Linked DNA regions of Arabidopsis thaliana. The protein of the gene in region 2 interacts with the protein of the main gene of each other region in a biochemical or structural test. Each region holds a gene or a part of one and is shown on either strand. Other genes may lie near its edges.

Region 1 (7,343 bases), on a different chromosome or scaffold from region 2:
CTTGAAGCCCGTTGGAATTTGCTGATTCTTATAATTTGCACATCTCCTCGCAGCTTTTTCATCATAGTGCAATGGCATGATTCTTTGTTTGTTTAACAGAATCTCAAGCAAATAAAAAGTGAGAAACATTTGCTCGATGGAGTAAAATGACTCCGCACCTCAAAACATATATGAACAGAATTTCTCCATGTCGTATATATCATTCTCTGTGTAGGCTCCAAATATCGTCTTTGATGATCCGTTCATAATTCATATTAACCCAAAAAAGAAAGAAAAAAGCACATTGGAATCAAGTAATATAATCCACCAGCTCCACCATTAACCCGTTCAAAATTGTTATTAACCTTAACATACCCGTCTTTGTATCCCAATAATATTTCAGATCATCATACAACAGAAAAACGGCTTAAAATATAAGACATTGGTCCTAAGCAGAAACTATTACGGTTCTGGTGGACTATAGCTAATGACGTAGATGATTACAATGATTTTTAATGTTCGGCGATTGAGGAAGGCACCTTCCGTCGGTTCATCTTTGTCTCATTAGCGTTCGATTATAAGAAATCTCATATTATTTGTTACGACTTTCCCATCCGTCAATATAACACAGAGATACATAAAACTTAAATAATATGATCAAGGATAAATATATTAGAAAGCAGAGATTCATTCATTAAGGCCATTTCTCCATCTCCATTCAATATTTAAGAAACAAAAATCCACAAGGCAAATTTGCATCCCAAAAAAAAAGCACAGACCGAATATTTTTTAAAAGAGAAAAATAGCGAAAATGAAGCGATAAATTTGTTTTAGGACAGTCTCCATATGGACTTCTAAATATACAAGCAGATTCCTTTCATGAGCCAACCACTTCCATAGTTGTTGTTTTTTTGCCCTAAGCCAAGTACCTAAACATGTTAGGATTCTCCTTGTCCCTCTCCAAATAATCTCTGGTTATTAAATCCTCCATACGCTTCTTGATCGCTTTGATATCAGGCTGCAACAAACATCACAAATCCAATGAGTTTCATCACCACGTGCATCTTCAAATGTCTCTGTATAAATATAATTATATGTATAATTTACCTTGAACATTCGGCTAAGTTGCTCAACACACTCAGAAACAAGTTGTTGATGTCCCAATACTTTCCTGCTCTTCATGATCCTGACAATGGCAGCATCAATTGCATATCTTCTGTCTTTATCGACATCTTCAACGACTTTCTTCCTTTCATCAACTGGGGGAAGAGGGATCTGTGACGCAAATCACCCAAGTTGATGTTAGTTATTAACAATATGTAAAACATGACATAAACTTGCAGACTTTTGAGTATTACTATTAACGTCACAAACCTTGATTCTGCGCATTCTATCGGTGAATTTGGAGTTGAACTCAAAGGCATCATTCTGGGAGACAGTCTTGGTGTTTGGCTCCTTAAGGAGTATCTTGTACTTAGCACATGACAAGGAATGAAGCAACCTAACTAGATCTTCATGGCTTAGGTTCAGTTGAGCCAAGATCTCAGTGTAACTTAACTTGTCAGTTGTGTTAAAGAGTAGAAGCACAGCAGCCTATAGAGACAGAGAACGTGGCATCAGAGTCCGTTTACAGATAGAAAATATATATCAGTATTTTCTGAGAAACATACAGTACCTGGTAAGTAGACACTATTAACTCGATGGCCTTTTGATCAAACTTCCCGTTTATGTGACAAGTTCCCAGTGAATAGATCCACGTAAGCTTCCTGTGTTTCGTTTTCGTTTCATAAAACCCTTTGAAGACTTCAACACACTTGATCTGAAACAAAGAATCAACGAATTAGATCTATCAGAAGCAAACAATCTCCTTTTCAGGTATGTAAGAAAATCAATAGAGTTTTTACCATTTCACTGGGTAGATTTATGTCAAATGATTTGTAACTTGGCCAGAAACCAGTGGTAAGAACAGTGACGGTCAAGTCAATCCCTGGGTTTGCAGCAGGGTTACTGCCTAGATAATCCTCGAAACTGTTTTGGTTTTCTCTTGCCAGTGTCAAATCCGTCACCTGTCACCAGCGGATTAAAATTATATAGAAAACATAAGTCATCAGAGCACGCACCGCTTTAAAATAAGAAACACAGGGACACTCAAACTAACCATGCCCTCCATCTTAGAAGTAAACTGTCCACCACATTGTTGCTTGAGCTTTGTCAGGATACTTCTCTCATGATCATCATTAGCACTGCGATCAAATAAGAGCCTACGGGCCAGCTTCTTCCTGCAATCAAAACCATAAACAAAATGGCTTGCAACTCAGTAATCCAACTTATGTCAATCAAATTGTATATTGTTGCAAGGCATCTCCACAAAAAGCTAGTAAAAACAAAACATTACAAGAAAAACAAAGAGTAGAAGCAAAAAGAGTCGATCCACAGATAAAGAAAGATTGAAGTTGGAGATAAACCTGTAGAACTCAGCGAAAAGATCCTTGTCACTTATGTATGCAAGCAATTTGACAACCTGTAACAACATTATAAAATTCAGGACCACTCTTTGGAGACTTGAAAAAGAAAAAACAGTTTGACAAAAGTACCTTCTCAAGCGTATCTTCGATAGCTTCATCACTCAGCTTTTCACTTCCCCCCTTTTTGAGAATATTGTCGCAAAATGTTGCAAGTAGTTCTGCACTTGAACTTCCAGCAACCGTTTTGTTACAAAAAATCTCAAATGCCTCTTTCAAAGCCTAAAATATGTTTCCATAAACTTAGGTTAGTAACACAACATAAACATGAATAAGATAGACAAATGACAAGTGCGCAGAAAGAACATTAGACCTTATGGAAGAGGGTGTGGTTCTGGAAACACTCGGTGACATATACCATGTATTTATCATGAAGTTCAATCACTTTTCTGATAAGAACCTGGAAATAATGAAAGGACAGTGAATCGTTAGCAATTTTATCCCCAAAAAAAATGAATCTCTAATTTCCAATATATCTTTACTACAATCGGTTTATAATTTTACCTGTTCCTGGACGCTAGCAGTATTTGCAACCTGTGGAATAAAAACGATCTTAGCAATCACAAACGAAGAAAGAAGAGTTATCCGAATATAACAAGTAAGATAATATGAACCTGATTAGTAGCCGTGTCTTCGGCCTGTTGGACAAGAGCGTTACCCTCTGCTGTGACATGCTGTGAACGAATAACAAGTTACAGTTAATGTCATACAGTAATTAAGAGACTGCAAGTAGACCATGAAGAAAAGACTATCCATTTGCTAATCATAAACAAAAGAATGAAGATAGGTAATAAACCTGCTTAAAGATGTTTGCAACAGGTTCCAAGCCTCGCAAAATTTTATGGTAAAGCCTGTACATCCTGGAGAGATCATCCACCTGAAAGTAGACAAATATAACCATTAAAGAAATAATTAAGTCACTAACTACTCAACAATAAAAACAAAAATACTTGCTCTACCTTGTCATCTCTTAGCAATGCACGGCACCCTGAGTGTTCTTTTTCTAGAAGCTGACTTGCAAACACAACCAGCAATTCATGTTGTACTTTCTGCATACAAAAGATTACTATACAAGTCAAACAGATATCAATCTTTAAAATCAAGTATGCCTGGACTACGCATTTAAAAAGAGTCTGGAAAGTATCTCAATACAAATAACAAAATTCAAAATCAAGGCTTATGCAAGATCTATGGTTTCTTCATCAAACCTACAAGTACAGGCATAATTACATAGTGCATAATAACCAACCTCAACCAGCTTTGGCTCACTGCTTGAGTGTAGGTAGTGAGCCACTCTCTCCCTCTCCTTCTTTAGACATTCTTCAGACTGTAACATGAAAGCACAGAAGTTAATAAATAATTTCAACTATTGTGAAATAAAAACAAATTTTAGAAAATGATATCACGAGTCATGCCTTCAACATGTAATCAGGGCAAGAATCTTCCTGAATCCAGCTTGATGCCTTGCGAGAATAATACGAAGAAGTATCTTGAAGCATGAAGCTTTCAAAATCTTCTTCATACCTCTCCATCTGCCCCATTCCAATCTCTACATAGATATCTAATACGTTTTTCAGCAGGGCCCTATCAATCTGCTCGCCCTCCCGTTCTTTATCAACCTGACAGAAGAACAGGTCATGTTAGACCTTGAATCAGGCAAAAGCCAGAGTTGGATGTAACTGCACAACAATATTGACGCCATACTTACAAGAGCTATTACAGCTTGTTTGACCTTAGAATGTAGCTCATTATAAACCTGAAGCGAACAGAATCAAGGAAAAGTTAAAAATATTTCAATACAACTGAAAGCTATAAAGCCACAGGAATGAATGCCATACCAGGTCACGGAAGCATGTCAGGCCAACTTCATTCAGTGGTGGAAGTGATCTCCGAGCAATGAAGTAACGGTCAAGGTAGTAGAAGAAGCGGGATAGCCATCTGACCATTACTTTATGGTTTGACCATCTTTTAAATAGCTCCCGCAGCATAAACTCATCATGCTTCTCCCTCAACGCAGGCAAAACCTAACCACAGACAACAAGAGAGCAAACATTCAAAACCGTTTGAATCAACTTAAAACCAAGAGGGGACAGGACTTCTTGACATATGAAACCATGCACAAAAGTGGCATCTTAAAATTCAGAGGTAGTAAAAACGAGAAGTTTATAAGAAAGAAACTAAATATCAATCAGACTCACTGTTGAGTTAATATATTCCTCAAATGCTTCCCGATACTTGTCATAAAGCTGCTGTGAGTAATCATGAGGAGGTTTCTGGGTGCACATGTTGTAGATAGTCCTGAGAATCAAATAAATTCCCCATCATAAGTATCAGGACAAACAGCCAAACCGCTATATAAGGTAATAAACAAGTATAAAACCTACGTATAAAGCATCATATATTGCTCAGAGTCAAATGCTGGCTCATTCAATCCTTCCAGAATCCGTTTCAGCTTAGTAATTCCAGTCTGCATATAGTCCCATCCTTGCTCCAAGTCAATAGTCTTGCGCTCCATGTTGACAAACAACTTTTCAAGCTCTCCTCAACCTAAGTTAACCAAAGAACAAGGAGAAAACCAAAATTTAGAACAGCAGTATTAAGCAACACAATGAAATGACTGAAGCGAGAGAGTCAACAATATTTATCATTCTTCAGAGGTTATAATAACACGTTAACACCCACATTATCGAATGCGAAACGAGTATTATCACCCAAATCAAACCCAAACTATCAGATTGTGCGCAAACGAGGACATAAGCATCAGAATATACTCGAGAAACAATCAATCCATGAGATAAACACGAAATTACACAGTAGAAACGCAATCCAGAGACTCCGACGTAACCCTAACAATCTCGATCCCACAAAAATTCAAATAAAAACCTAGAAAGACGAACAATCAACAGAATGATAAAAAAATCAACTGTCGTATGGAACAAAACAAGCGAGAATCCGACAGAAATAGTGATACCTCGAGATCTTAAACCCTAATAATCAGAAAATCGCGTCGCCGTACCCCAAACAGACCCTGACGATTACCGATTCCCGATTACACAGGATCGGCGAGAGCTGCTGCGATCGAAAAAGAAGCGAGAGAGAGAGAGAATCAAAACCCTAAGAATCGTTCAGGAAAAAAGCGTAAAATAGAGAGAAAGAGAGACGAGACCTATGAGAAGGGCGGTGAAAAGATATCTCAGGAAACAAACTCGTTCTCTTCTATTCTATTATTTTCAGGTCTTATAGATTTAATTATTTTTATTTTATGTCAACTAATATATTAGTATAATATTAAACAAATTTAATTTCTTACCTTTTCAGAGATCTACATCAAGACGCTGCGTTTTATAATTTTTCTTTGTAAAGTAACTTATTTACTTTTATGCCCCTTTATTTTGCCTTCCTTACTCAAACCCTAACCCGAATCGGCTTTTTGACAATCCGAAATTAGGTAACCATGTTCATTGAATTTATCGTTTCAACACATTCGAATCACTGAGTCCTACGTTTCAGTTTAATTCCCTGATGCACATTTTGAATTCGGTTTGCGTATTGGTCTTCGAGTTTTCCGTCGGCGGCCATGGACGCGTTCAAGGAGGAGATAGAAATCGGGAGCTCGGTGGAGTCTTTAATGGAGCTATTGGATTCGCAGAAGGTGCTTTTTCATAGCCAGATCGATCAGCTCCAAGATGTCGTCGTTGCGCAATGCAAACTTACCGGCGTTAATCCCCTTGCGCAAGAAATGGTGGGTTATTGTTTCTATGTTTTTTGGTATCTAAAGTTCGTGTTTTATTGGGGTATGGTGATATGGGCAAAGCTGAGAGGGACAGGTCATTCGGATTTTGGAATAAATTCTTTGAAGGGTATTGAGTCTAGCAAAAATTAGAGGTGTTTTTGGTATAAATTCATATAGCTCGACCTCTCCGTTTCTTCTGTGAACTGTAATGGTGATGCTTCAACTGTTTATATGTCATTTCTCTGATCAAGTAATCATCTCTGTTAAAGACATTAATCTGTTTAATTTTTTTGTTGTTTCAGGCTGCTGGTGCTTTGTCCATTAAAATTGGTGAGTCATCTTAGGATTCGTGAGATCTTTTGGCATAATTACGTATATCACAGAGAATGTTTCAATTCATTGTTGCTCTCTAGGTTCATTAAAGGCATACCCAACTTTTACGTGCTCGATGCCTAGTATCTGATGAATTTGTAAATATTTCAGGAAAGCGGCCAAGAGACTTGTTGAATCCTAAGGCTGTTAAGTATCTACAAGCAGTTTTCGCAATTAAAGATGCTATTAGTAAGAGGGAATCTCGGGAGATAAGTGCTTTATTTGGCATCACAGTCGCCCAGGTATTGTTCTTCTACATGATATGTACTCTTTTTTGCCATGCTTTTAGAATTCCATGTCAGTTTAGATCTGTCATGTTGAGGTACTCATGAGACTTTGGTTTGTCTCTTTATTATTTTCTTCAATGGCAGGTTCGAGAATTTTTTGTTACTCAAAAGACAAGAGTGAGGAAACAGGTGAGGCTTTCAAGGGAGAAAGTAGTTATGTCCAATACGCATGCTTTACAAGATGATGGTGTTCCGGAAAATAACAATGCCACAAATCATGTTGAACCCGTTCCCTTGAACTCTATACATCCGGAGGCATGTTCTATAAGCTGGGGTGAAGGTGAAACAGTGGCACTTATTCCACCTGAAGATATTCCACCTGACATCAGCGATTCAGACAAATACTTTGTTGAGAATATATTTTCTCTGCTGCGTAAAGAGGAAACATTTTCAGGCCAGGTGAAACTAATGGAGTGGATCATGCAGATACAAGATGCTTCTGTGCTGATC
Region 2 (4,569 bases):
AACTCCTCAACAATAATTCTATAGTAGATTCTTGTTTCATATTTAATCAAACACAGGTAAAAGAATGAAAAACTCTTGTGTAAGGGAATCTTGTACACTCCCGTCATGAAAGATAATACGCTTGATCATTTAAAAAAGATATACCTCTTGATATACTTTAGTGAGCATCTCAGAACGCGAAACGATTAATCCTGCTAGGCATTTGGCCGCTGCTCTCCTAACTTTCCAGCTGGCATCTTCATCATCTGTGTACTCATTTGCACTCTCGCTGTGAGAAAGAAAGACTTATTTCAGTGAGATAATGGTGCACCGTAAGGAGCTAGGCTACTGTTCCAATGAATAAATCAGAACTTACTCATCTTCTTCATCTTCAAGAGTCTCATTATCAGTATCTTCCTCCATATTGTCCGTAAAATTCGGGTCATAACTAATATATTCTAAAGTAAGATTTAAAATTTCATCACAATATGGTGAGATGTCCCTGGGACATCGTAGCAAGAAACTTTCAAGTGCCTGCAGTCAAATTTCAGAACAGACATGTTATCGTCTACATTGTTCATACCAATTTTATTGAACCTAAGATTAGAATTCCAATTTAATAGCATAGGAAAGAAAAGAGACTACAAGCACGCCTAAGTAATTGTCTGATTACAAAAATTAGATGAGAAAACAAAAAATGCAAGCGTAGTGAGAAAGTAGGAACATTAGGGAATCTTGCACGATACCTGTAAGCTATACTCGCGAAGCTCCTCGTCATTTTCTGAAGCGCTAGTGCAGTAATTGATTAATACTGGCACAGTGTTACCTAGATGAGTGCCAAACCGGTAACCAACAGCACGGCTGAAACAAAAACGCATTAAATAGCATTACAACCATGGCAAGCCTAGTCGTAGATAACCATTCATCCCAATCAATAAATAGGTAGCACAAGTACAACTAACCGAAGCATACTACAACACTACAGTAACGTATGGTAAGAAGTTAAAGATATATAACAAGCCGATAAGAAGGAAGATAGGAAGTACCATAAAGCTCCAATCATTTGAATATTGGTACGTGTAATCTCCGATTTTGCATTCCTGTTACTTAGATTTTTCACAACTTCAACAGTCGCCTTCGCGAGCAAATCATCAGACAGACTGGAAGCAAGAGAAGCTGACACCACACAAAATTTTGAACTTAGAAGAGGCTATATACCATCGAATTAAGAGTTCTATATACGACTAGGAAAAAAATGACATTGAATATATCATTTGAACTAGCATCGGTTTCACAAGAATTGACGCAAACAGCTGAAAACCATATTTCTAATATAGATAAGGAAAGCTACCACTCAAGTCTCGGCAGATTAAAGTTGGTTTCAAATTAGCTAAATATTGACATTAGTACCGACAGTACCCAGCAATCATATTGACTCAATTTTATGAACTTACCAATGCATGTAACAGTCTTCTTCCTGACTGTGGCTTGGTTACAGCCCAATTGCAATAACAATGTATTCAATAGCTTCTCGTGATCATCCGTCATTAAACTTCCATATTTTTGAACAACATCACACATGATCTCAAGACATTCACACTTGATCCCTGAGCTCATTCCCTTCAGCAGTAAATACGCAGAAAATTAGTTACTTGTAAAATAAGATGATAGAACCTTAGAGTAGACAAATAATTATATGCATATACTGTGCTCTGGTCTACTAAGAGTTTTTCAGACAGAGTTCTTTAACTGTATTAGATCCAATAAAACTTAAAACGTAAAATCAACTAATTTTCCAATAGATGTCAATCAATATGATTTTGATGGGATCCGAAATTGTCTAGGACGACCCTAAGCACTGTCGCATATGCAATCGAAATAATAAGGAATAGACCTCCCAACAACTAACCTGGCCACTTATTCCTCCTATCATTTGTGGTGTTAGAGTAACAAGAATAGATGGAGCAAGCGTAGGAGCAATTTGAGCGACAACAGTCCTGAGAGCTATGCTTGCGGTATCACGATGCTGGTCTTTCCCATGCAGCAGTTTATCACATAACTTGTTGGTCATTTCAACAATTCGTTCTTCTCCAACCTTCTTCACCAATGGAGCAAGACTGGAACAAAATCATAACATCAAAGGTCGACGATAGATCAGCTAAATGTAAAAGTATAACATCAGCTTAGGTCATAAGTTGCTAAGAGCAGAAAGCTAACCATTTAACAGCCAATCCAGAAACATCACCAGCCACATCATCGAGCTGTTGCAATATGATACTCGACAATCTCACCTCCAAGTCCAGGTCGATTTTAAAGGAATCCTTATTCAACTCATTAAGCAAATCAGAGGTTGCCATGTATCTGTAATCTTTATCTTTACCCGTCATCTGAAACTATAGTAAATACAGCAATGAGAAAAGGTGACTATACTCAAAAACAAAATTAAGCTTAATTAGAAACAGATGATGAAAAGACCTTTTCGAGTATCCCAGAAACTTGTAAGTTCGCCATATTGGCCCGACCTTCTCAATTCACTCCTTCCAACTGCAATCAAACAAGGATCTCAAAATTCATTACTTAGTAAAAAGAGAATCAACCATGCGTTGAACTAAAACGCTTAGTCAGAGCAATGTCACTCTATCAAGCTCTCCACAGAGGTTAAAACATCAGAAACAAAGTCAGAAGTGTAAAGAAGAAGCATCGAAGATGGATTAATTATCGCCGGTAACAAAACCTAATTAATATCCCTTAGAAAACTTTTGATTCATCGAAGATCACAAAGAAGAAGTTCGGTTTGATAAATCAAAGTATCGTCGCCACCAAAACCCTAAGACTACGACTACGAAGACGAAAAGAGTTAACGCTAGACATCATCACACTTTATCGATCAAAAAGCAAAAAAGAGGTAACCCTAAGTAACCTGAGAAGATGAAATCGACGGAGGTAACGCCGGAGACGGAGTAGAACGCCGAGAGTTCCGATTTGGTGGTGGTGGAAGTTGCGGAGAGGAGAGAGCTCTGAGGAAAGTAAAAAAAGATGGAGGAGATACTGTAAATTTCCGTACTCGTGAAAGCTTGATTTTTAGCCCTTCTCTCTTCTTAAGGAGGAAGTTAACTTTCTTCTAAATGGGCCTGTGTAGGATTAATTGGGCCTGACTTGGTGCGATTTGAGTCGGTTAATGGGTAGCGTTTATTTCATGCTGTACATTGTTGGACTTGATTAGTCGGTTAATACTAAATGGGTTTGGCCCAATTACTTTGTTTTCAGTCTGAGCCCAAGCATGGGTTTCTTTGTTTGATCCAAGTAGTTCTTTTTTTGTTTGCTTTTTTTGTGTCAGGGACATGCTATGCGATTGCGACCAACCAACTAAATAGTGTTAGCCATTGGTTCATCGACAATTTATGGTCAATATTTTTGAACGATTAGCAAGTAAAAAATTGTATCACTGAAAGTTTTCAACCTAGGCCAAGTATATGTGGTTTAGTGGTAGGGGAAGCTTTGGGAAGGATGAAACTCTTAGACCCGAGTTCGATTCTCCTTGAAAGTTGGTAAGTGTATAAGTTGGGTCTTGGTTTAATTGGTTTACTTGGTAATTAGAAATGTAGGCGGCCGCCTGACTACCCCCTGGCATTAGTCAGAAAGCATTTCAAACTCGTGACAGACAGACAGTATGGTGGTTTTTCGGGAAGAAGTCCACTCGAAAACATTTCGGTGTGTTTTTACTAGGGCTAACCAGATCAGCCGATAAGGTTTATAAGAAAAAAAAAAAATTGAATCAAAATCATTTGTTAAATGTTCCCGACCCAACGACTACCAAATAAACATGATTTCATTGTCGATAGTCATCGCTAACGATTATAAAGTTAACAAAATATAACTGATTGTCATTGTTGCTAACGACTAAAAAAAACTAAAACCGTAAAATATGGTATAGATGTGAGATTTTTTGTCGAAATTAGACTTCCTTTATTTTGAACTAGAACTTCGAAATTCAAATTATTAGATACTTTTGTCTAAGTAGTTTCTTCGTCATCTGTTTCTTCCACTTCCACGTGTGTAAATTTTTCGTGGGTTTCAGGATTAAGTCTTCCTTATGCTATTTCCTTAGTCTTAGTTGTTGACAAATATGTGCCCGTAGAATCTTCATACTTTCGAATGACAAATTCATCGCCAGACTCACGGTCACGCAAGAATGGAAGGTTAGACACCTCAGGCACATTCAAGTGTTGAAGCTCTTCAATTACTTGATTATAGACATACTAATATTTGAAAAGCAACAAAATTATGAATTTTTTCAGATGAGAAGTTAGGTCAGTGCTGTCCTCTAGTAGTTCCTCTATTACCTGAAAGAAAATGAATAACACACATCATGTCATCATACATGCAAATACAAAATCTAAATGTATAGTATACTACTATTTTGAACTAAACCAAGTAAAAAGTACCTCTCTACCACGTATAGTTTTAGTACCAATTATTTCATATGCTCTTTCGGATCCCTCCGTTAATGGCCATTTAAAATAGTCACAATCGCAAAGAATGCACATCTCCAGAAAATTATCGTCTGTGAATTCTGAAAAATCGTAAGAT

The links.
Region 1: the proteins of CAND1 (region 2) and CUL1 form a complex in vitro, tested with the Arabidopsis thaliana proteins (one study listed by BioGRID).

What each region holds. Positions count from the first base shown.
Region 1 is NC_003075.7:1,126,988-1,134,330, reverse strand, and holds CUL1 (cullin 1), read right to left. Parts: upstream 5,817-7,343; 5' UTR 5,668-5,816; exon of another isoform or gene 5,574-5,667; 5' UTR 5,518-5,573; exon of another isoform or gene 5,473-5,517; intron 5,049-5,472; 5' UTR 5,017-5,048; coding exon 4,886-5,016; intron 4,800-4,885; coding exon 4,700-4,799; intron 4,526-4,699; coding exon 4,340-4,525; intron 4,258-4,339; coding exon 4,210-4,257; intron 4,121-4,209; coding exon 3,917-4,120; intron 3,829-3,916; coding exon 3,751-3,828; intron 3,551-3,750; coding exon 3,461-3,550; intron 3,379-3,460; coding exon 3,298-3,378; intron 3,176-3,297; coding exon 3,116-3,175; intron 3,036-3,115; coding exon 3,006-3,035; intron 2,902-3,005; coding exon 2,815-2,901; intron 2,724-2,814; coding exon 2,574-2,723; intron 2,501-2,573; coding exon 2,445-2,500; intron 2,259-2,444; coding exon 2,138-2,258; intron 2,046-2,137; coding exon 1,884-2,045; intron 1,799-1,883; coding exon 1,655-1,798; intron 1,573-1,654; coding exon 1,354-1,572; and 6 more. Other genes in the region: LD (Homeodomain-like superfamily protein), read left to right, coding at 6,079-6,243, 6,537-6,564, 6,718-6,848, 6,978-7,343.
Region 2 is NC_003071.7:688,266-692,834, reverse strand, and holds the start of CAND1 (cullin-associated and neddylation dissociated), read right to left. Parts: upstream 3,052-4,569; 5' UTR 2,900-3,051; intron 2,524-2,899; 5' UTR 2,491-2,523; coding exon 2,455-2,490; intron 2,373-2,454; coding exon 2,197-2,372; intron 2,097-2,196; coding exon 1,889-2,096; intron 1,600-1,888; coding exon 1,434-1,599; intron 1,156-1,433; coding exon 1,026-1,155; intron 841-1,025; coding exon 726-840; intron 514-725; coding exon 356-513; intron 269-355; coding exon 145-268; intron 1-144. Other genes in the region: AT2G02550 (PIN domain-like family protein), read right to left, coding at 4,071-4,238. UniProt on the Arabidopsis thaliana protein: Key assembly factor of SCF (SKP1-CUL1-F-box protein) E3 ubiquitin ligase complexes that promotes the exchange of the substrate-recognition F-box subunit in SCF complexes, thereby playing a key role in the cellular repertoire of SCF complexes.